Lytechinus pictus: one gene and its partner. The protein of the gene in region 1 purifies or fractionates together with the protein of each later gene. This does not show direct contact. Links are inferred from orthologs where the notes say so. Each region holds a gene or a part of one and is shown in the gene's direction. Other genes may lie near its edges. The genes, in order: histone acetyltransferase KAT8-like and putative male-specific lethal-3 protein-like 2.

What was found.
Region 2: the proteins of histone acetyltransferase KAT8-like (region 1) and putative male-specific lethal-3 protein-like 2 purify together in Homo sapiens (affinity purification with mass spectrometry; 4 studies listed by BioGRID and IntAct, with this or other methods). This does not show direct contact. The link is inferred for Lytechinus pictus from reciprocal best matches to the Homo sapiens genes KAT8 and MSL3.

Annotation. Positions count from the first base shown.
Region 1 is NC_087262.1:19,534,032-19,544,497, forward strand, and holds the start of histone acetyltransferase KAT8-like, read left to right. Parts: upstream 1-6,407; 5' UTR 6,408-6,517; coding exon 6,518-6,659; intron 6,660-10,466. Other genes in the region: peptidyl-prolyl cis-trans isomerase-like, read left to right, coding at 903-978, 2,505-2,637.
Region 2 is NC_087256.1:929,806-940,979, forward strand, and holds the start of putative male-specific lethal-3 protein-like 2, read left to right. Parts: upstream 1-6,571; 5' UTR 6,572-6,663; intron 6,664-9,585; exon of another isoform or gene 9,586-9,765; intron 9,766-10,902; 5' UTR 10,903-10,996; coding exon 10,997-10,998; intron 10,999-11,174. UniProt on the Homo sapiens protein: Non-catalytic component of the MSL histone acetyltransferase complex, a multiprotein complex that mediates the majority of histone H4 acetylation at 'Lys-16' (H4K16ac), an epigenetic mark that prevents chromatin compaction.

The DNA of each region.
Region 1 (10,466 bases):
GAAAAGTCCTTCCCTATATTTGCCAAAATGTTGGAAAAATTCACATTTCATATCAATGAAATGCCTTCCCAAAGTATTTACTTTCTCAAGAGTGGTTTAAGAAGTCATTTATAAACAAGAAAGAAAGAAACTGTCTGTTCATTTTTGGCTAGAAAAGACACAGCTTCGAAAGAAACCAAGTATCAACATACATACAAATGCACATGTGGGACTGTGATGTACTTGCCTATGTGTTTTTATGTGTATTAATTCATTTGGAAATCGGTCTTTTGTAGTCAAAAGAGAGGTCATAATTCCTCTTCTTAATGCTTGCAAATAATCAGGGTACACCAAATTTTCGTAATATAGACTGTAGAATGTCATTTCATTGGTGTAAAATGTGACTTTGACTTAGATTTTCAAAGTTCTGTAGAAGATTTCTTAGCAGCAACATTTTTTATCGCAGCTCCCAGAGTCTGAATAGGCTGAGCTAGATCTAGAGCACAGCTGTATGCAGTGGCTTCATGCAAACTCACGCCAGCCGGCCGGCGCGGCTGGATAATAGCTACTGTCTGCTATAGCTGAAGGCCTAATATGCAAACTTTGTGTGTGTGTATTTGTGTGTAGATCAACAAAAAGGGCGCATGACGAACTGGCTTGCAATTTCAACTGTAGAAAGTTGATAAATGCGTGCAAAATCGGGAGAAAAATTGCGCTACATTGAAAATTATTGGTTGCCCGATTCGGGCCACCAAAACTTAACATTTTATCAATAATGGTTGCCCGAAGTGAATTTCTGGTGGCCCCGGGCCACCGCTAATGTCGAGCCTTGGGTATACTTATATGGTGGTTATACTTTGCAATCCTGGCATATTATTAATTGAGATGTATTCAACACAATTTCACTGGTCTATTTTCTGCAGGAATCTTGTCAATGGCCAATGCTGGCCCAAACACCAATGGTTCCCAGTTTTTTATCTGCACAGCAAAGACAACATGGTAATTATAGTAATTTTCATGTTTATCCTCTGACGGAAGCTATGGTATTAATTTTGATTTCTGGCAGCTGAAATTAGATATAGTTCAATATTGCATTCAGTGTCAGAATACATTCTTAATTCTGTCTGCAGTTGAGTAACAGCAAAAACATAGCTGCATTCTCCGCCTAGATTATAGGCTAGGCTTGGGTAACATTTCAGTATTGATGGTGCAGTTCAAATTACTATCCAATTTTTGAAGCACTCTTTGAATTTGGCTGTTCATGTCCATGAGTTGTCTTTGGTTAAATTATTAACATTGAAATCTTAACCAAGGTAAGGTTTTTTTTAATGAAAATATGAAAATCTATATTGTTCAAAATACAAATCTAAAATGGAATCATTACAAACATTATTTTTGCCCAATTTATCGTGGACTTGGCAGCTACTGTGCAGCACCAGATTGACATAGCTCTATTAACTTAACCTGAAAAGGCGGGGGGGGGGGGGGTCGGGGGGAGTATCCGCCGCCCCCCCCCCCTTGGCGTTTTCAGGTTAAGTTAAGGAAAATATGTGCAGTGTGAATTGATCACATTTGGGGTATTTTTGTCTCCTGGCCTGCATAGCAGAGCGAGACTAGGTGCTGCTTTTCTGATGGCGACGGCTGCCTAGTCAACATGAAATCTTAAATAAGGTTAATTTTTTTGAAATGTCCTATATTAGAAACGTACATGAAGCTTGGACATAAGGTTAGTTAAGTATCACTGAACATCCTGCCCAAGTTTTCAGGTCACATGACCAAGGTGGGTCATTTGGGGTCAATGGACTTAGACCATGTAACATCGAAATCTTAACCAAGGTTAAGTTTTTTTAAATTTTTTCATAACTTGGAAAGTTTATGAATATAATTCATGAAACTTGGACATAAGGGTAATGGTGTATCACTGAAAGTCCTGCCTGAGTTTCGGGTCACATGACCAAGGTCAAAGGTAATTTAGGGTCAACGAACTTTGGTCATGTTGGGGGTAATGGTTGAATTGCCATCATAACTGAAAGTGTATGGATCTAGGTCATGAAACTTGGACAGAAGAGCAACAAGTATCACTAAACATCTGGTGAGAGTTTCAGGTCACATGACCAAGGTCAAAGGTCATTTAAGGTCAATTAACTTTGGCCATGTTGGGGGTATTGTTCAATTGCCATCATTAACTTTAAAAGTTTATGGATCTGGTTCATTAAATAAAGACGAAAGGGTAATCAAGTATCACTTATTGTTTTGCATGAGTCTTAGGTCGCATGATGAAGGTCATTTAGGGTAAATGAATATACTGTCTTGTTATATGAATGGTGTTTTTTTGTGAATGAGTATTCAATAGTCGTAGCTCTGGCACTCCACTTGTTAAAAATGTTTTAACTTTGAAAGGTTATGGATCTAATTAATGAAACTTGGACATAAGGATAATAGAGTATCACAAATCATATTTGATATTAGGGTTAAAATACCCTAGCCCAGGCTAAAGTATAATCATTGGTTTATTCCCTTCTCAGGCTCGATGGAAAACATGTGGTCTTTGGCAGTGTGGTTGAAGGTCTTGATGTCGTGAAGGCAATCGAGGGATATGGTAGCGATAGTGGCAAGACCAGTAAGAAGATCACTATTACAGACTGTGGTCAGATGTAAATCATCAGGTTTCAATCATCAGACAATCCTGTTAAGTTGTGTTATTATTATAAGAGGTGTAGAAGCATGTGGTGTTAAATATAATAATTTTGTACAAGATAAATCTTTACTTTTCTCCTTTTTAATGTGTAGATGTGTTGAGTCACTTGTGGAACATGCTGTATAAACTTTCAAAATTCACTTTTATCATCAGGTTTATATAGAAGTACTTGTACATGGTAACAGCCGCTAGACGTAAATGATCTTATGATTGTGGATTATTCATCAATATTCTTTTTAGGCTATGCTTAGACTGATGGACATCATGGACAATAATATGTCGCGATCATCCTATATTGTATGCACTGTACATTAATACATGTTCAATATACACAAATAGTGTTTATGAGTGCAATGGACGGACTACTTCAACTTCATGAGGTGAAAGAGGATCCGTTCAACAAGGCATAGCCATGTTGAATGAACCATTTCACCTTTCACTGAATGAAGTAATCTGTCCATAGCTCAAGTGAAAAAAAAAAGTTTTATATGGCACCTAAAAATAGATCCTTATTTGCCATTTAGTAAGATTAAATTCACGTGATGGTTAAAAAAAAAACGTTTCTCCATTACAGACCTATATCATCTGCTCTGTAACATCAAGTGAGATTTTTTTAATAGGCTTTGATACAGTGTTTTCTCATGTTTAATATATTCATGTGTTACAATTAGAATACTTTGAAATTCAATGTAGCATTGGAGAAGGGGGCGGGGGTCTTGTCTTCTGTGAAGCCAAGTGTATGTCCCAATAATTACATACATGTATTTGTCAATGGGGCTTTTATTCATCCACGATAATCGGTGTGAAACATTTTCTTGTCACTTATTCCTAAACAGTTCATGTTTATTCTTGAGATTCTAATTTGTATAATTTGGATTAGAAATTTATCTGACCGCCCAGCAAGTCAGTTTGGTTCAACCAAAATTACAGTATGAAATTGATCATGGAATATTCACAGTAACATGTAGCTGTGTTCCCTTGTAATGTTTTAAACACGATATTTGTATTTTTTGTATTAGTGTGCACAATGTCTTTGTCGACTAGAAGAAAATCAGTATTTTCTTTATCTCCCAGGTAGTAAACAATAAACCATACTCTGTCTGGAAAATCATCTGAATTTGTTTGTCAATATATTGGTTTGGGGGGCTTTTTGTAGTGTCAGGCTTTACACATAGGAGGTATGGAGTCCAGAACAGCCCACTTCCATGCATGAACCTCTTGAACGCCAGAGCAGTCAATGTAGTCAATTTGTGGGTTCCGGACTTTTCGCATTTCCTAGGAGGAAACTCTCCAATGCACCAATTCCTTTGAAAATGCAAGTCGAATCACAATATAGAGCTGAGAGGCTTATGTCGTAAGTTTGTAGACCGCGATAGCATCAGAATCTATGCGACTCTGGACAATGACATACAGTATTTGCATTTGTTCTTCCGTGGCAAATGTTCGGATCTGCTGCATTCTAGAGATTTTCCCCCTAGTAAAAGCGAAAACACCCTATTGTTTGAGGGGTTTTTTTTAAGGTATCGGAACCCTCCAATTATTTTATTCCTTTAATTTTTGGTTAGCATGTCGCCAAGAAATCGAAAGTTTTCAGAGTTCATACTGCCATCTAACTTGGATGAGTGTAAGAGGTTATACATGTATGCACAAATGGGCTGGTGATAATTATATTATCTAAATAAATAGAGTAAAATTAACCTAGCAAAATGGTGAAAATTTCATCAATATCTGATTAAAAAAACAAGGTTATATTTTGTGAAAGCAGTCGTGTCATGTGTTCATGTCATGAATATTCATTAGGTTGGCTGATGTCACATCCTTAACTTTCAGTTTCCTTTTTCTTATGTTACATGAAATCGTAATTTCATGTTTGAATGATATGTCTTCTTTAAAATGAAATATGTTGCAACAATAAATATTTAATCGGTTGTCAATTCATTTTTTTTATTCTTGGAGGAAAAAAAAGACCATAATTTCATGTAATAAAATATTAAAGGACAAGTCCACCCCAACAAAAAGTTGATTTGAATTAAAAGAGAAAAATCCAACAAGCATAACACTGAAAATTTCATCAAAATCGGATATAAAATAAAGTTATGACATTTTAAAGTGTCACTTAATTTCACAAAACAGTTATATGCACATCCTGGCTGGCATTTTCCTGGGGTGGACTTTACCTTAAAAAAAAAAAACAAGTGGGGATATGCCATCAGATTGCTCATTGAATATTCATGAAGACATGCATAGCACTGTTTCACAATGTAAATCTTTTCATTGTTTTGTTTGATTTTTTCCTTATCTGTTCAAACCATATTTTAAGCCTGGATACCCCTTTAACTAAATAAGTGATTTTCATTATACCTTCCCCTTCCCTCCCCATTGTTAATGAATGCATAAAACAAATCCTAAAGAATGCTCTGAAAACGTGTACTGACCGCACTGAAACGTTGACAGAGTGTCCTGTTACAACCGGTATTAAATGTGGCAGCAATGCCTAATGTTACATCATTGCATTACTTACACATTGAAATGTTTTGCCTTCACAATCCCAATCCGAAAGATGTGACTGGGCTTACTGTTGGCGCTCTGTTAGGCTAACAACGTTTCTGTGCGGCGAGCACGGGGCAATAGAAACTGTTTAGATTGGTAATAGAGGAAGGGGATGGGGGTAGAGAGAAGGAAAGGACAAAAGGTGGAAATAAATGGATAGGGGAGTTTGCTCGGTTTATTTCCATTTGGTCTACTGCCAATTCGCCTAATTACCAATTTGTCTACTATCATTGGGTCTATCATCAATTTGTCCACTATCCACATGGTCTAATTGCCACTTCGTCCACTCACCATTTCATCTGATAACCAGTTGGTCCAATAGCCATGCAGATCGTCCATAAACCATTTGGTCTAATTGGATAAGTGTTAATAAGGCAAAATGAATGAAAAGAAAGTGGGTATGAGACCAACTTGTTATTAGACGAAATGGTTATAGACGAACTGGTGATTAGACAAAGTGATTATTGGACCAGATGGTGGTTAGACAAAATGTTGGTGGACGGAATGGCATTAGACTAAATGAAGGTAGACCATGTGATTAGTGGACGAGTTGGCAATAGATGTATGGCAGTTTGCTCGAGAGAGAGATGGCCGGGTGGGGTATGAGAGATGGAGATATCCAGGGCCCTGTCATACAAAGGTTAGGAAGCGATCACTAATTTAAAAGAGCAATTATGATTGGTTCTTAGTCTACTGAGCATAAATGCGATGCAACTTTAATGGGCCATTCATTTAATGATTTATCGCTAACCTTCATCAACATTTTTGTCCAACAAGTTGTCAGATCTGACATCTTTCTCTGATGTTGATTGGCTAAGAAGCACTGTTACTATGGTAACTGTCGGATAAAATGGGACTTGTCAGATAAAACGTCCGACAATTAAGTCCTTTCATGAAACGCCCCCCAGAGGGTGAGTGTTATAGGAGGTTTATCTCCCGAGATATAGTGGGGGTATGTATGAGCATGGACCTATTACGAATGAGAGACTTGGGAGAGGGCTTGGCAAAATACAGAAGAGCACAAGGGAAGTACCGGTACATGTTAAAAATGAATTTAAATGAAAACTATCTTTTTTCATCAAACCTTTAAAAATATATTTTTATTCGGTAGTCAATGTGTTCGGATCGTGTGTGGCATGCACGTACCGGTGATGTAATTTCGCGCGCGCATTTTATATTGGTGCGTGCGCGCGTACGTGTCTATCGACGATATGTGATGCGGGAACCAGTCGGACCACCAACCTGTGACATAAAAGCGAAGAGTTCCTCATCTTAATCAAAGGAAACAACATGAATTCATCATTGAAAGACTCTGATTCTAAAACGACATCGACACAGAATGGAAGCACCAACGATTCTGAAAACGAAAATGACGAAAATTCCTTGAAAATCGGCGATACTTTCTTGATAAAGCGACACGACAACACGTGGCGTAAGTATGAATCGTTGAGTAAACAAAGCCCGTCCTAGCCCTAGCATTGCGGTGCGGAGAATGAATTCGTGTCCCGCCTCGCCCGAACTCTCTGGCGTTGTTTTGTGGTCAACCGAGTGAGACCAGGGACAGGGTCCCGTTTCATAAAGACTTGTTATCATGATAACATACCGTAAGGGCACTAGTATTCAACCCGTTTGGAGAGTTTCCTCAAATGTATAGAAATATAGAATTAACCTGAATTTCAGACCCGTCTTATTTTCAAGAGCAAATGCTGGTTATTCTTCATGTTCTTTTCAAATTTCAGTTATTTTTTTCTTCAACCCGTCGACTGTGTGCGCGGGTGATCGAATTATACGGCGATGGTTTTTGGCACTAGTTAGCCAGGCGGCTTCTCGAGAGTAAAAATCATTTACTAACGTAAGGTTACTCTCATACGAAGCCAAGACTTCTACCTCATACATAGACCCACACAAAGGAAGCCAAAACCTGAAACTTTCACCCCCAAGATTTCTACTTTCCTTCTAAAAGATCTATCATCTAGCTCTAAATCATGTAGGGCCTACATGGGATAAAACTTCATTTCCGACATTTCTACGCTCTCGTTGTTATTTTTGAAGAAGAATTCATCAAAAAAAAATGAGAAAAATATCATGAATAGACGGAAGAGACTTGCCCGATGTTATCTTATTGCACTTCACCAACGTTACGCGACGCTCGCGTCCGTAACGTTGGGGAAGTACAATAAGAAACAAGATGGCGGCGTAAACATCGGGCAAGTCTCTTCCGTCTTTTCACAATATTTTTTTCATTTTTTGATGAATTCTTGTTTTAAAAATAACAACGAGAGCGTAGAAATGTCGGAAATTAAGTTTTAATTTTTATCCCATGTACATGATTTAGAGCTAGATCTTTTAGAAGGAAAATAGAAATCTCGGGGGTGAAAGTTTCAGCCAGGTTTGGCTTCCTTTGTGTGGGTCTATGATGTAGAAGTCCTGGCTTCGTATGAGAGTAACCTGACGTTAGTAAATGATTTTTACTCTCTAGAAGCCGCCTGGCTAGCACTAGTATTCAACCTAGCGATAAAAGATGGCCCTGTCTTTCAATCTGCCCTTGTCCCATCCGACTATGGACTAGACCAATTGAGATGAGACCAAACGGAATTAATCAAAGCCAGAGACTTACATAAATCTAGATCTAATAATCTAAACCATTTTGAAATTAGCCATCTATCATCACTAGGTTGAATATATAGTTAGTGCATTTCAGTGCAAAAGGTCACCGCCGCATAATTCGATCCTCCGCGCATACAGTCGACAGATTGATAAAGAAAATACCGACAACAGATTACACTGGAAATAACAAAGTCAAATTCAAAGGTATGACAAATAAGATAAATTCCCAATTTCTAAATATTTGGGGGAATTTGTCCAAATCTTTGAATTATGCCGGGTTGAATACTAGTGCCCATACGGTATGCATAATTTCTATAAGTACAAATTTACAGCCAATCAGATTAACAGAGATGCCAAGTTCAAAAAAATGTTATGCGTGAGATTTTCATGACTCGGCATCTCTGCTTACACTTGTACGTTTCACGAGATATGGGCTTCATCATGATATCGATCCATCGACATCGTATCACGTACTACTAGCTGTGCGCTGACTGCACTCTCGATTCGTCTCGCGTGCCGGGGTAGACACGACGGCGTACGAAGGTAGCTTACACTATGTACACACATCGCTATAGCATCAGATTTTTTGTTAACATTTAATGGCAGGGCAATGGTAAATTTGTTATTGTAACAAGTTATATGAAACGGTTCCCTGAGGATGAGGCTGAGCCAGACTTCAGAGTCGGAGAGTGACTGAGACTATAAAAGTGGCAGTGCATATTGAGACACAAAAGCATGCTGAGTGATCCATGAATTTCTCACCTCTCTGTAATTTTATTTTGTCTGAAAATTAAGCCGCTGATGGATATTTAATTCATATTTATATATTCCATTGTTTTAATAAAACAAATATGTAAAAATTTGCATCTTCAATTAAAGGAGAATGAAACTCTTGAAGCAAGTTAGCTTTTGTGAAAGCAGAAAAATCAAAGAATAAGATCAACAAAACTTTGAGTAAAATAGGACTAGCAATAAAAGAGTTATGAGCATTTGAATGTCGAGATCACTAATGCTATGGAGATCCTCCCATTGGCAATGCGACCAAGATCTGTGATGTCACACACGTACAACTCTCCCATTTGGACACTGAAAATATACCCCAAAACATATCTTTTTGCTCATTCTAATCATATGACAAACGATTCATCAATGATATAATGTTGTGAAACCTCTGTACTTGTCATCTCATAAAGAGAACACCTCACCTTGTGATAGACTCTATAAAAGTGAGAATATAAGTGAAATAAGTACTAAAGTAATGAGGGAGTTGTACGTGTGTGATATCACAGATCTTGGTCGCATTGCCGTTGGGAGGATCTACATGGCACTAGTGATCTCAATATTCGAATGCTCATAACTTTCTTATTATTCATTCAATCTTCCTCAAACTTTCAACAATATGTTTCTTTGATTTTTCTCTTTGATATGGATTCAGCTGGTTTCAAGGGTTTCATTCTCCTTTAATTTCATCTCATTCTGTTACTAATTACATCTCTCACAGATCACGTACCTTCCTCATTTCATTTTTTCTAACTTATTTTTCTCTCATACTTTCATCTATTCTCACATTTTTTTATATTTAATTCATTATTTTGTCTTTGCAGTATTATAAAATCTTGGGACCAGGCCACTAATAAAACTTCAGAATGTCCGGCCATGATCCTGAATTACATGCAATAATTATGTGTCTGGAGAGAAAAAGAAAACACTGCTCGGTTAATATCTGAATAAAATCATGATTGAGATAATTATTTATGAAACATGTATTCTTGACAATCGATTGATATATTACTAAAATATTTTAAGTAGAATAAAGCAATCAAATCTACTGCAGAGTTTGTTTCATTGATCATCATTTTATTAATTTCTTGGGAATTCCGGGACCAGTTTAATTTCCTCCACTGCCTCGCCGTCGTACTCTGTCCCTGGGCTGAGAGTGCCCGCAGTCCATACAAGCACACTTTGCACAGTCACAGCTGCACAGCTCAGAAAATGCACAGACAGTGCGCGAAAATGAAACAAAATTGCACTTGTTTGCATAAAACCTGTGGTAATTCTTGCAACTATAGATAGCAAATTTATATCTGCCACCCATAATTAAGAAGAAAAGTGATATTAGACTCTGGAACAAATGTGACGGGGCGTTTACTGGAAGTTAGCAAATGTTGGCTGCGGGCGTCGATCATATTTTGATTCACTATGGAAATCGTACACTTTATTGTCGGCTGCTTGCATTCGCATGGTCGCATCCGGACAATAGTGGCGCTATTGCTCCCTTTTCGATCCCATGATCCTTTGCGTGAATCTATTTGCGATAAGGTCTATTGTTGAGTTTGCTTGCGTGGATGGTGTATCTAGAGTCTAGGCCTAACTTTTTCGAGAATTATATCAATTTTGACGAGATTTTTGGCTTTTTGCAGAAAATTAGTACAACTAACGTATATACTCAATTCAAGTCCTATTCTATTCATATTTACTAAATTTCTTCTGGGAGGGGGGGGGGGTGTATAGACCCTAGTCACGTATTACTATTGTTACCGGACACTAGATTCCGGACGCGCATATTGTTACTGCGTACGAAAACAATTTCGTACCATTAGACTTCCGCAGTTCAATTACACAGAGCAATACC
Region 2 (11,174 bases), on another chromosome or scaffold:
TGAACAATACAATTTCAAGTTTTACAGATTTGATAATAATGACCTACTTGACTGACCCAAAAAAATGTTAAAAACAATGGTAGTTCCACATGTTCAGGGAGGAATAAAACTTTATTTCACATGACAATGAGAAAATAACGAAATACAAAATAAATAGTGAGTGAGTGATGTCATTAGTCCCCTTATTTGCATACCGACCAAGATATCTAATTGTTTTGCATAAATAAGCAAAACTTTAAAATGTCATAACTTTATCATTTTACATCCGATTTTAAAGAAATTTTCAGCATATACATGTATTTTTCTTGGGGTGGACTTGTCCTTTAAGGTTTGCTAGCTGACAATCTTATACTGAATTAAACTACTTTTCTTCATCTTTACGAAGCACAAAGTTTCACCTGCTTTTGTATGTACCTCAAGAATACAATGTCAATTTTTTCAGTCTATTTGTAAAGTATTTTATGCTTTTGCAACTCCTCCATTCATTCAAGTACTACTATTACACATTTGAGCTTATTTTAAATAGTGTTTCTTTCCCTGTCTAAAAAGTGAGCACAACACTCAGATGTTTGTTATAATGAGAATATTCTATAGATTGATGTGCACAATTGAACAAGAGGATTTCAAGGAACATGACAAAGTGGTGGAGAAAGGGGGATTAAGAAGGAAAGAGTGGTGTTGAAAAAGAGATTTAGTTAGAAGAAAATAATATACCACTTAAGAAATAAAAGAATTAAAAAAAATATTCATCTAAAATCACATCCATGACCATGCATATTTATAACACACAAGTCTATGAGGCGTTTTAAAACACGTTTTTTTTGTAAAAAAAACGGGTGTTTTAAAACGCGTTTTAAAACGTGTTTTAAAACACACCGTTTAAAACGTGCCAACCCTGCCCGTGCGCCTCTACTGTTAGTAGTACATGTCAGCCCCCAAAATGCTGAAATATGTGATTTAATTTTCAAAAGCGAAGAAATATGTAAGAAAATGTCTTTGATATCAGTTGTTTTTTTAAAAAATTTGTTAGAAATGCCATGAAGAATACGTACGGCAAAAATTAGCACTCTACAAGCTTTAATTACCAATACTGAATTAGAACAGAAAAAATGATTTTATGAATAAATTAGCATATAGGGCCTAATTATTTCATATAAAATGAAGTATATACATGTAAATATATATATTCAGTGGAGTTTAGCTCTACAATCAAGTAGTTGATGTCATATTTCTACAATCTTTTAAATTTTTGTTGCCATATGATCTTTTGCAGAGAAATGGGGGAGCATATTCATGCTAATTTATTCATGAGCAAGCCTTGAAATAAGCACATGTGAGCCGGGGGCAATTTTTTTTAAAATTGCCCCCGGCTCACGGGCTTTTTACAGGAACCGGGGGCAATTTAAAAAATATATATATAACGGTGAACCACACTGCAAATTTGTTTATAGTAAGCGCAGCTCCTGTAATTTTTTTATTAGTTCATGAAAAAAAAAAAAATAGCATGCTAAGTATTAGGCTTATTCAAACATTTAAGAAATCAGATTTAAATGTTTAAGTGTGTTTTGACACCCTCACTCCACATCCCCTTTACAACCACACACACATGGGCTTATTTATTTTTCATCTTTAATGAACCACGATCAATGAACCCCCCCAAAAAAAAAAATCTAAATAAATGAATTTAAAAAAATGTAAAAAAAGAGAGAGATGGAGAAAGAGAGAATTCAGATCAAATAATAAATTTAGAAAAAAAAAAAAAAATTAAAGGTTTTCTTCATGGTTAGAATCACGGGTGTGGGTGAGTGTTTGTGTGTGATTGTGACTGTGAGGTGCACTTGGATTGCATATAAATTATGTTAAAGAAATGAAGAAATTAAATCAATATCTACCGGGGTATTAACTCAGTCTATTCAAATTCCAGCACATAGCCACAGGCTATGTACATGTATTGAAGGTTCATGTACCTTAAGTTTTTCACAAGTTGTTTGAAAACGCAGATCTCCACAGAAAATGCCTTTCATTCTGGGAGAGTCTAAATTCGGTGAAAATGTATTCATTAATAACTTAAATATTCATCACAATAAAGAAATCAAAATTTTGACAGTTTTCAAAAATTAACATGAAATCTAAACTATCTGAAACGGAAAATCACCATCACTTAGGCCATTACTGATAGAATTCTCACCCAGAGCTCTGGCAGAGAACATGAGCTCAAACTAGCTAGCTAACACCACACTCAAGTGCACGGCATCCTCCTATTATTTTTTTTTAGATGGAGCCTTGTTTGATGATTTATTGTCTGATATTAACCCCTCTCCTAGAAAGAAATTAAAAAGCTACAATTCACAACTATAAGCTAAGTGATTTTGGATTATTAAGGCTCCGTTTTGACAAGCAAAGTCGGCGACTGTGAGGATAAAAGACTCGCACATCGTATGTGCTGTGAACAGGGATTTATCTCCTGTGCAATTCGAATTACTATATCGCAGAATTGTGATATCCCAACTGGAAATGTGTGCATTAGAAATTGCACATGGTGAAGTATGGAAAAACCGCTACCGGAAACACGCGCGCACATGTATTACAGAAAAAAAAAGACGGACGTAGCTCACTTTTTATGGTACAGAAAAAAAGACGCACTTGGCAATTTTAAACTGTGTCTATCGTAAATTGAAAGTTACTTGATTTTGGCTTTTCAGATATTTAAATTACAATCTTTAGGGACCCGTCCGGACTCAGTCCGTACTAGCAGGGAGAAGCTCTGGATGAGACGACTTCGCACCACCCAACCTCATGGCCTGAACATCCAAGAGGGGAACGACTGATTTTTCTTTCCTATCCACTTTCAATTTATATATACATATAATTTTTCCCCTCAGCTCTTTTGAATATATAGTTACATTATAGTTTCTTACTCTACTTTCCTCCCATATCTCACACAAGCTCAGCTCCAATTTTTCCTTCCTTATTCAGGCGATATAATAATTATTATATATATATATATATATATTTGTTTTTTCTCCACTCACCTCTTTTAGATTTACCACATTTGCTTATTTACATGTATACTATGGTTTCTTCATAATACACCCCCTCTCTTCTATATTTGCTTTTACCTTTTTAGGCAATTTGCTTCCTCTTTTTCACATATACAGGTCCTTTTTTTTTTTCTTTTTTTTTTCCCTACTATATAGTCTTATGTTTTTTTTCCCGTCACACCTAGCGGATTACAATATCAGTTACACCATATGTGTATTTATATATTTTTTCATATAGATTTCTTTTTTGGATATATTTATATACATATCACTTATAGATACATATTTACACTTACCTTCTTCTCTTAGTTTGTTTAATGCTTTATCATATATACTTATATGTCTTTTGCACATTATCAGTTGTTCCCCATTCTTTTTCTTTTTTTCCCCCACTCTTATGCACCAGTTTATTAAGCCTTCCTTTGTAACCTGTTTGACCCACCTCTCACTAATTCTCTTGTTTTTCATCCCATTATCACTGTTTTGTTCCAGATCCTGTTTGATGTTGCCTGCCTCATTATTTTAATCCCTCTTGGCTTGAGGTCTTTTACTGGCCTTACTTACACTAACTTCCCTTTGTGTCTGCCTACTCCTTTTCTTTCATCCCCTTCACTAACCTGATTGGTCTTCTCTACTCACTAATGCCCCTTTTGTCTCCTTGTTTCTAGTGTTGCTGTAGCTTGTTTGTGGTCTATATTATGGTTGTTCCACTTTATATGTTTGTCATTTTGCCTCCGACGAAGATTCTGCTAGGATCGAAAGCTTAGGCCCCTTTTTGACTTTCTAATTTACTCCATTGGCTCTCTTTTATTAGATAAGCAGTTTTCAGCAGCTTCTTTTTGCCATTTAAATTACAAGTATGATATGGCTTCACTGCTCACTCACGGCGGGCGCAATTACCTGGAAAATATTTGCGCCCGGTCGTCAAAATTTTGATGATTTTGGGGCTTTATGGGCGCAATTGATGGCTTTATGAGCGCGAATTTGCGCTCAGCGCCCGCTAATTTCAAGTCTTGTTCATGAGATACATTTTTGGCTGCCAACACTCATTTGCATGTTGCACTGTACATGTACAATGTACCTCGTCGATGACTCCAGCAATGCTGAATGTGGATATGTTGTGTGTGCATGTGTCATGTGATCACGAGAGTGGCTGACTGATGCAAACAAAGTGGGGAGTTCAGGCTTTATGCATGAGGAGGGGAGATTCAGGCTTTATGCATGAGGAGGGGAGAGAGCCGGGGGGGGGGGGGGGGGGTCTTAGCAAAATATGAAATATGGTTTTGTGTATGTTGTGTGTACCTCGTTGTTACTATGTTATGCTTATGCTCTATTATTTTTTTTTCTAATGTTTCTTTGTTTTTTGATGATCACCTTCAATGTCAGGATTTTATATCGATAAACTTAATTTGAAAAATTTGAATTTGTATGACTGTGTATTACAAGCTGTGTAAGTTTGTTTGTTCAAAGGCTGCAGTAGAGGCGGGTCCACGGATATACCTGCATGAAGGGGGGGGGGAGTAAAAAAAACGGACCTCCTAAATTTTCTGTTGATAACCCTTTTTTTCCCATTGTCAATTTTTTCCCTGGGTCCCCCCTTGATGGCCCCCCCTAAAATTTTGGTTGATAACCCTTTTTTTTCTTCAGGTGGACCCCCCCAAAATATTTTGGGGGGGCTTGCCGCCAGCCTGCCACCAATAAAAGGGGGAGGGTACACGTGTAAAAGCAGCATTTTACATTAGATTTTCTTTTATAATGGCTCTCAAGGGGGTGGGTAGGATGTGCCCCCCCCCCCCTTTGGATCCTCCACTGGTCATGTACAGGGCATGCATTTAAATTGGGGGTGCCCGGGGGGGTGTAACTAACCTCTGGTGTCAAGGGGGCACAGCCAGCCCGTGCCCCCCCCCCCCTTGAGAGGCACAATTAAAATTTAAATGCTGTGAAAACTTAAGTGTGTGCCCCCCCCCCCCCCTTTGAAAGTGAGGACTTTTTTTTTTGCTTGTCAGATTTTTTCGTAGAAGAAATGTACTTCCTTTTTGGTTGAAAACATTTATTTTTTTGCTTGTCAAATTTTTCCTCGGGGAAAATGTGCCCCCCCCCCACCCTTGGAAAATCCTAGATCCACCCCTGGTGTCAATACTATGTTTGAAAAGAGATATACCCCTTCCATCCCTGATGTAACCCATTTGCTGCCAAGGAGGGGGCTGACATACCCCCTTTGTCTCCTTTGGCTTCACACCTGATGATTGCACATGACCGGCGCCGTGACCACTGCACTTATGGGCAGCCAAAACGGTCAAAATTAATAATCTCAAAAATAAAGAAACTCTCAGAAGTATAACATTCAGAAATGAATACATTACTTTGGACAACTAGTAAATACGTCAAAAATAAAGAGGCTGCATTTATTTATGAAAGACTGAGATACTACATTTATTTCTGAGAGTTTCTTAATTTTTGAGATTGTTAATTTTGGCCCTTTTGGCTGCCCATATGCACTAGCTAGCGACACACAGTCACAGAGCTCGATCGCGATCCGCTCGGTCTATTCATTTCAATTCACCTCATCACTGCACAAGTTCAATGCGACATTTGTTATTCATTAGAGGTACAAATTGTTATTTATATCAAACAACCATTTCAAACACTCTAGGCGACACCCCAATACTTACCCGTGTTAATAAACTGGGACTCCACTCACGCGCATTTGGGCCGCCCTAGCTTAGAACTAAGCAATATTATCTAGAAATTGTTAAAACTGTAGTCATAAAATATGTTCTATTAAATAAATGTTTAATCGGTACTCACCGGTTCTTTTGTTGCATTTTCAGACAAAAAAAAAAAAAAATTTATGTAATGATGCTAAAATGAAAGGAAATTATTAAAAGTAGACAGGTAGAAGAGCGTTTTACTTACATGTTATTGACACCATCTTGTCTCCTTTGTGATTGCATCCTCGCGATGCAACGCATCTATAGAGGGTGGCAAAATCATGAGCAGTGCCAACCTAGATTTTTTTTAATACTTGCACCGGCCGATAAATTTCATAAATCGTAAATTACTTGCATCGGCCGGTAAATGTAATATACAGTTCATGATATTTACCGGCCGATGCAAGTATTTTAAACTCAAATAACCTAAATTCAGACTGCAAGGGCAGTACTGAAAAGAAATGTAATTGAACTCAAGTCTAGACTAACAGAAATGTAAAACAGCTGAAGAAAAAAAGTTAAAGGAAATAAACAAGGTAAGAAAATGACGAAAATAAACCATCTTACATAGATTTTCTCCTTTAAAAAAGGAGATTTTCAAAAACAAATAACAAAAATATATATCAGCTTTTGCAAATCCAGATTTTGATCACTTTTAACACCAAACATTTACACAAAAATATTGAAATAAAAATAACATAGTCATGATATGGTTCAATATTTACATTACAATATAAAAAATACGCCAATAAATATGTAGGCCTACCATACTACATTTACATCAAATTATGGTGGCCTTAAAACTTTTACTTTTTTTTTAATTACTAGATACTGAAAGTAGATTGGACAAGAGATAGTGCAGGCAAGAGAGTTCCAGAGTACCTAGTTCACTTCAATGGCTGGAATCATAGGTAAGACTGCCATTCAAATGAATAATATATATTCTTTTGTGTGGGCACTTGGCAGTAATTTCTATCTATTCAGATTCTGGTATATATTTTCTAATATAAGAAACACAATCTTTTTTCAAGAAAAGTTCACCCCAACTAAAAGTTGATTTGAATAAAAAGAGAAAAATCCAACAAGCATTACAAAAAAATTTCATCGAAATCTTATGTAAAATAGAAAGTTATGACATTTTAAAGTTTTGCTTAATTTCACAAAACAGTTTAGTACACGTATGCACATCCTTGTTGTTATGCAAATGAGGAGCCTGATGACGTCATCCACTCACTATTTCTTTTGTATTTTATTATATGAAATATTCTTATCTCATTGTCAAGTGGAACAAAGATTGATTCCTCCTGATCATGTGGAATTAGCATTGTTCTACATGTATATAGTATGGTTGTCATGTTGATCCTTTTTTCAAATCTGTAAATAATGAAATATTGTATTATTGTATTATTCAAAGTCAGTGCGTCATAGTCTACCTATTATATGGAATTCCCTCCCAAGTAATTGTATTGAATGTAAAACGTTATTGCAGTATAAGAGGGCATTGAAAAAAATATCTCTTCACATTTGAGTATTGTTACATTGTTTACCATTTATCAATTTACATTAATATATACCTAACTTTACCTTGGCATCTAATTCCTCTGATAGCTAATGGATGTGTCGTGTGGGGTGAGTGTGTTTTGTGTGATATGGTGTGGATGTAGATAATACCCATGTAAGACTATTTCGATATGTTTTTTAAAGGGGGGGTGGGGTATACCAAATTGAAGATTCTAATACATGTATGCCTGTAACGCAATGTAGTACATGTACATGTATTTGAGGGAACTTTTACCCACAAAGCCTTAAAGGCCTTTCTTTAAGTTCTCTTATTTCATTTCATATTTTCATGTATTTATTGGCATATTATGTGATAATCGTGTATGTTATACTTTGTAAATATCTTTTTATCGAAATGAAATAAATGGATTCAATCAATCAATCAAAACAAAAGAAATAGTGAGTGAAGGACATCATAGACTATCTCATTTGCAGGTCATTGAGTTGTGCATATAATTATAACTGTTTTGTGAAAAATAAGATAAACTTTAAAATGTCATAACTTTCATATTTTACATCCGATTTTGATGAAAATTTACAGCATAAGGCTAGTTTCATGTTTCTCTATTTACATTTGAATTTCAAATCAACATTTTTGCTGGGGTGGACTTGACCTTTAAGGGTTCCATGATACCAATTTTCTGTGCTCTAATCTGACTAATGGTTCATCTGTGGCCTGCTTTCCATTATCAGGCCAAATCATGGAAATGCCTATTTCTCATAATTGTACTATGTGGGGTTTTCTGAAATGTATTGAAACTTGAAAATGAATATGAATTATTTTAGATTAACCAAACATCGATACAGGCTTGATGTTGAAAAAAAAAAATAATAATAATAATAATAATAATAATGATAAAAACAAAAATCAACATTTGACTATAAAGGTGCTACATGTACATGAAGTCCTTCAGTACAGGCTTGATTTGGGCATTTTATGACAAAAAAACGTAAAGGACAAGTCCACCCCAACAAAAAGTGGATTTGAATAAAAGGAGAAAAATCCATCAAGTACAACACTGAAAATTTCATCAAAATCGGATGTAAAATAAGAAAGTTATGACATTTTTAAGTTTCGCTTAATTTCACAAAATAGTTTTATTCACATCCTGGTCGGTATGCAAATGAGTGAACTGATGACATCACTATTTCTTTTGTATTTTATTATATGAAATATGAAATATTCTAATTTTCTCCTCATTGTCCTGTGAAACACACTTTTATTTTGCCCTGAACGTGTGGAATTACCATTGTTAAACATTTTATGTTTCACAGTCAAGTTTGTCTTTATTGTCAAATCTGTAAAAATTGAAATATTGTATAATTCAAACAATAAAAAACAAAAGAAATAGTGAGTGAAGGACATCATAGACTCTCTCATTTGCAGGTTATTGAGTTGTGCATATAACTGTTTAGTGAAAAATAAGATAAACTTTAAAATGTCATAACTTTCATATTTTACATCCGATTTTGATGAAATTTAAAGCAATAGGCTAGTTTGATTTTTCTCTATTTACATTTGAATTTCAAATCAATATTTTTGCTGGGGTAGACTTGACCTTTAAGGGTTCCATGATACCAGTTTTACGTGCTCTAATCTGACTAATGGTTCATCTATGGCCTGCTTTCCATTATCAGGCCAAAGCATGGAAATGCCCATTTCTCGCAATTGTGCTATGTGGGGTTTTCTGAAATGTATTGAAACTTGAAAATGAATATGAATTCTTTTTGATTAATCGATACAGGCTTGATGATGAAATTTTTATAACCCCCCTCCCCCCCCCCAAAAAAGATAATAATTTAGAAAATAAATAAAAACAAAACAAAAATCAACATTTGACTAAAAAAAAGATGCTACTTGTACGTAAAGTCCTTCAGTACAGGCTTGATTTTAGCATTTTTATGACAAAAAACCTTTAACATTTATTGAAATCCATTAACTTTATAAAGATCCGATCCACTACAGTCTCCTGTTCCAGACTACTGATTCACACACCCAGCCTGGGGCAATTCCTTTCTTTTCTTCAATCATCTATTCATCCTTTTCTCCTCCTTGTCTTTGTCGTTACTGACTGTATGATTTTTTTTTCAAGTTTTCATGGTGATTCCAACATTATGGGTATCAAAATCGAGTACCATGTTAATAATTACTGTTTAAATGGAAAGCTTACAGCTGTCATGCCATAGGTGTTCAATTAGTGTCTGTATCAGTAGACTACCACTTTAGAGGTAGCCTGGTACTGTTTGCTAGTCAGCTGGTTGTCTATTGTTAGGGAGCTACGGTGAAGGTCACCAAGGTCATCAGTCGTCCGTATTGGCGGGGGTTTTCAATTCATTACAATACAATGCAGAAAACAAATGATTTTATGGATGTCTCTGTTTATCAATACTGGAAAGGCAGTATAGATTTGAGGATTATCTTTATGTTTGCTCTTGAGGGCCTTGGCCCAGTGGTAAGTTGAATCAAGGAGAATCGTAGCAATCATAGCATACAAATTGTCAAGAAACAGTGTAACTTACATGTAGATCTACAGTATGTTATACTGTGCATGTTTGGCAAGCTTCCGGAAACGTACTGAATGATGGGGCATAACACAGACCTGTCTTGGTGAATTCTGTAGGTTAAAGGTCAATATCTGGACAAGCAAGCTTCCACATGTTTTGTTTATCTGCTTGCTCGAGTTTGCACTTCATTTTTTAGATTTTATTGTCCTGAAACTTGTGAGAGCCCACTTTATTCTCCATCTCATTGTACATGTCCATCCGTACTCCTCACAACAAATGTTTGTTCAGTTTGGAATGCAGTTTTCAAATAGAACATGGTGTATTGAATTCTATTGGAAACAGGCTGTTTTATGGAATATTCTTGATCATGATATTTAGCTGAAACAAAACTTATTCGGCAGTCTGTTCAGACACATGAACAAGGAGTGTAGGAACTTGTCTAATCTGCCAGTAAAACTATTCAAAAGTTCCAACTTAACAGGAAATAACTTTTTCTGATTTCACATTGCAAAGATTGCTACATAAAAAGTCTTGTGTAATATACAATACAGGCCACAAATGCTCTTCAAATTTTGAACGCAAAACTGTTCCGTGTGTATGATTCACAAAATTCATTCAGTACTGTGTAATAATGATGATATAGACAGCCTACACTGACATTAATAATGATCTTCCACATATTGATGTTTACAGTTGTGTCGGTCAATGGAGGTGTACACCTGGGGGGCGTTTCATCAACATTTTTGTCCGACAAGTTGTCTGATCTGACATCTTTCCTTGATTCTGATTGGCTGAGAAGCACTGTAACTATGGTAACTGTCGGATAAAATGGGACTTGTCGGATAAAACGTCTGACATGTCCTTTCATGAAATGCTCCCCTGCTTTGATTTTTTTATACTTCCTTTTTCGTTTTTTTTTTAAAGATAAATTTATGTTAATTAAACAATTTTTTTGTAAAGCCCATTTACATGTAAGTTTGACACTTGGTGTTAAGTTCACAGTGCATAAATAAACAACCTAAATACTAAGTTAATACCCATGTAGATGTTTTGTATTATTTATATCATTACTATTTTCATTATAGTTGGGACAGGTGGGCCCCTGAACATTTCATTCTCAAGTACACAGATGAAAGCTTGGAACATCAAGAGAAGCTCCAGAAAGAAGCAGAAGAGAAAATGTGAGTTTATTCTTTTACCTTATTTGTATTCCAAAAACTAATTGGGCAAATGTTTCATACCAGAAAGAGCAATTTTATAACCATACTCAGATGTTATTTCTTTAATATACATAATCATGATAACTGAAATATGTCAGATAACTGAAATATGTCAGATCCAATGTAGAAAAAGTAGG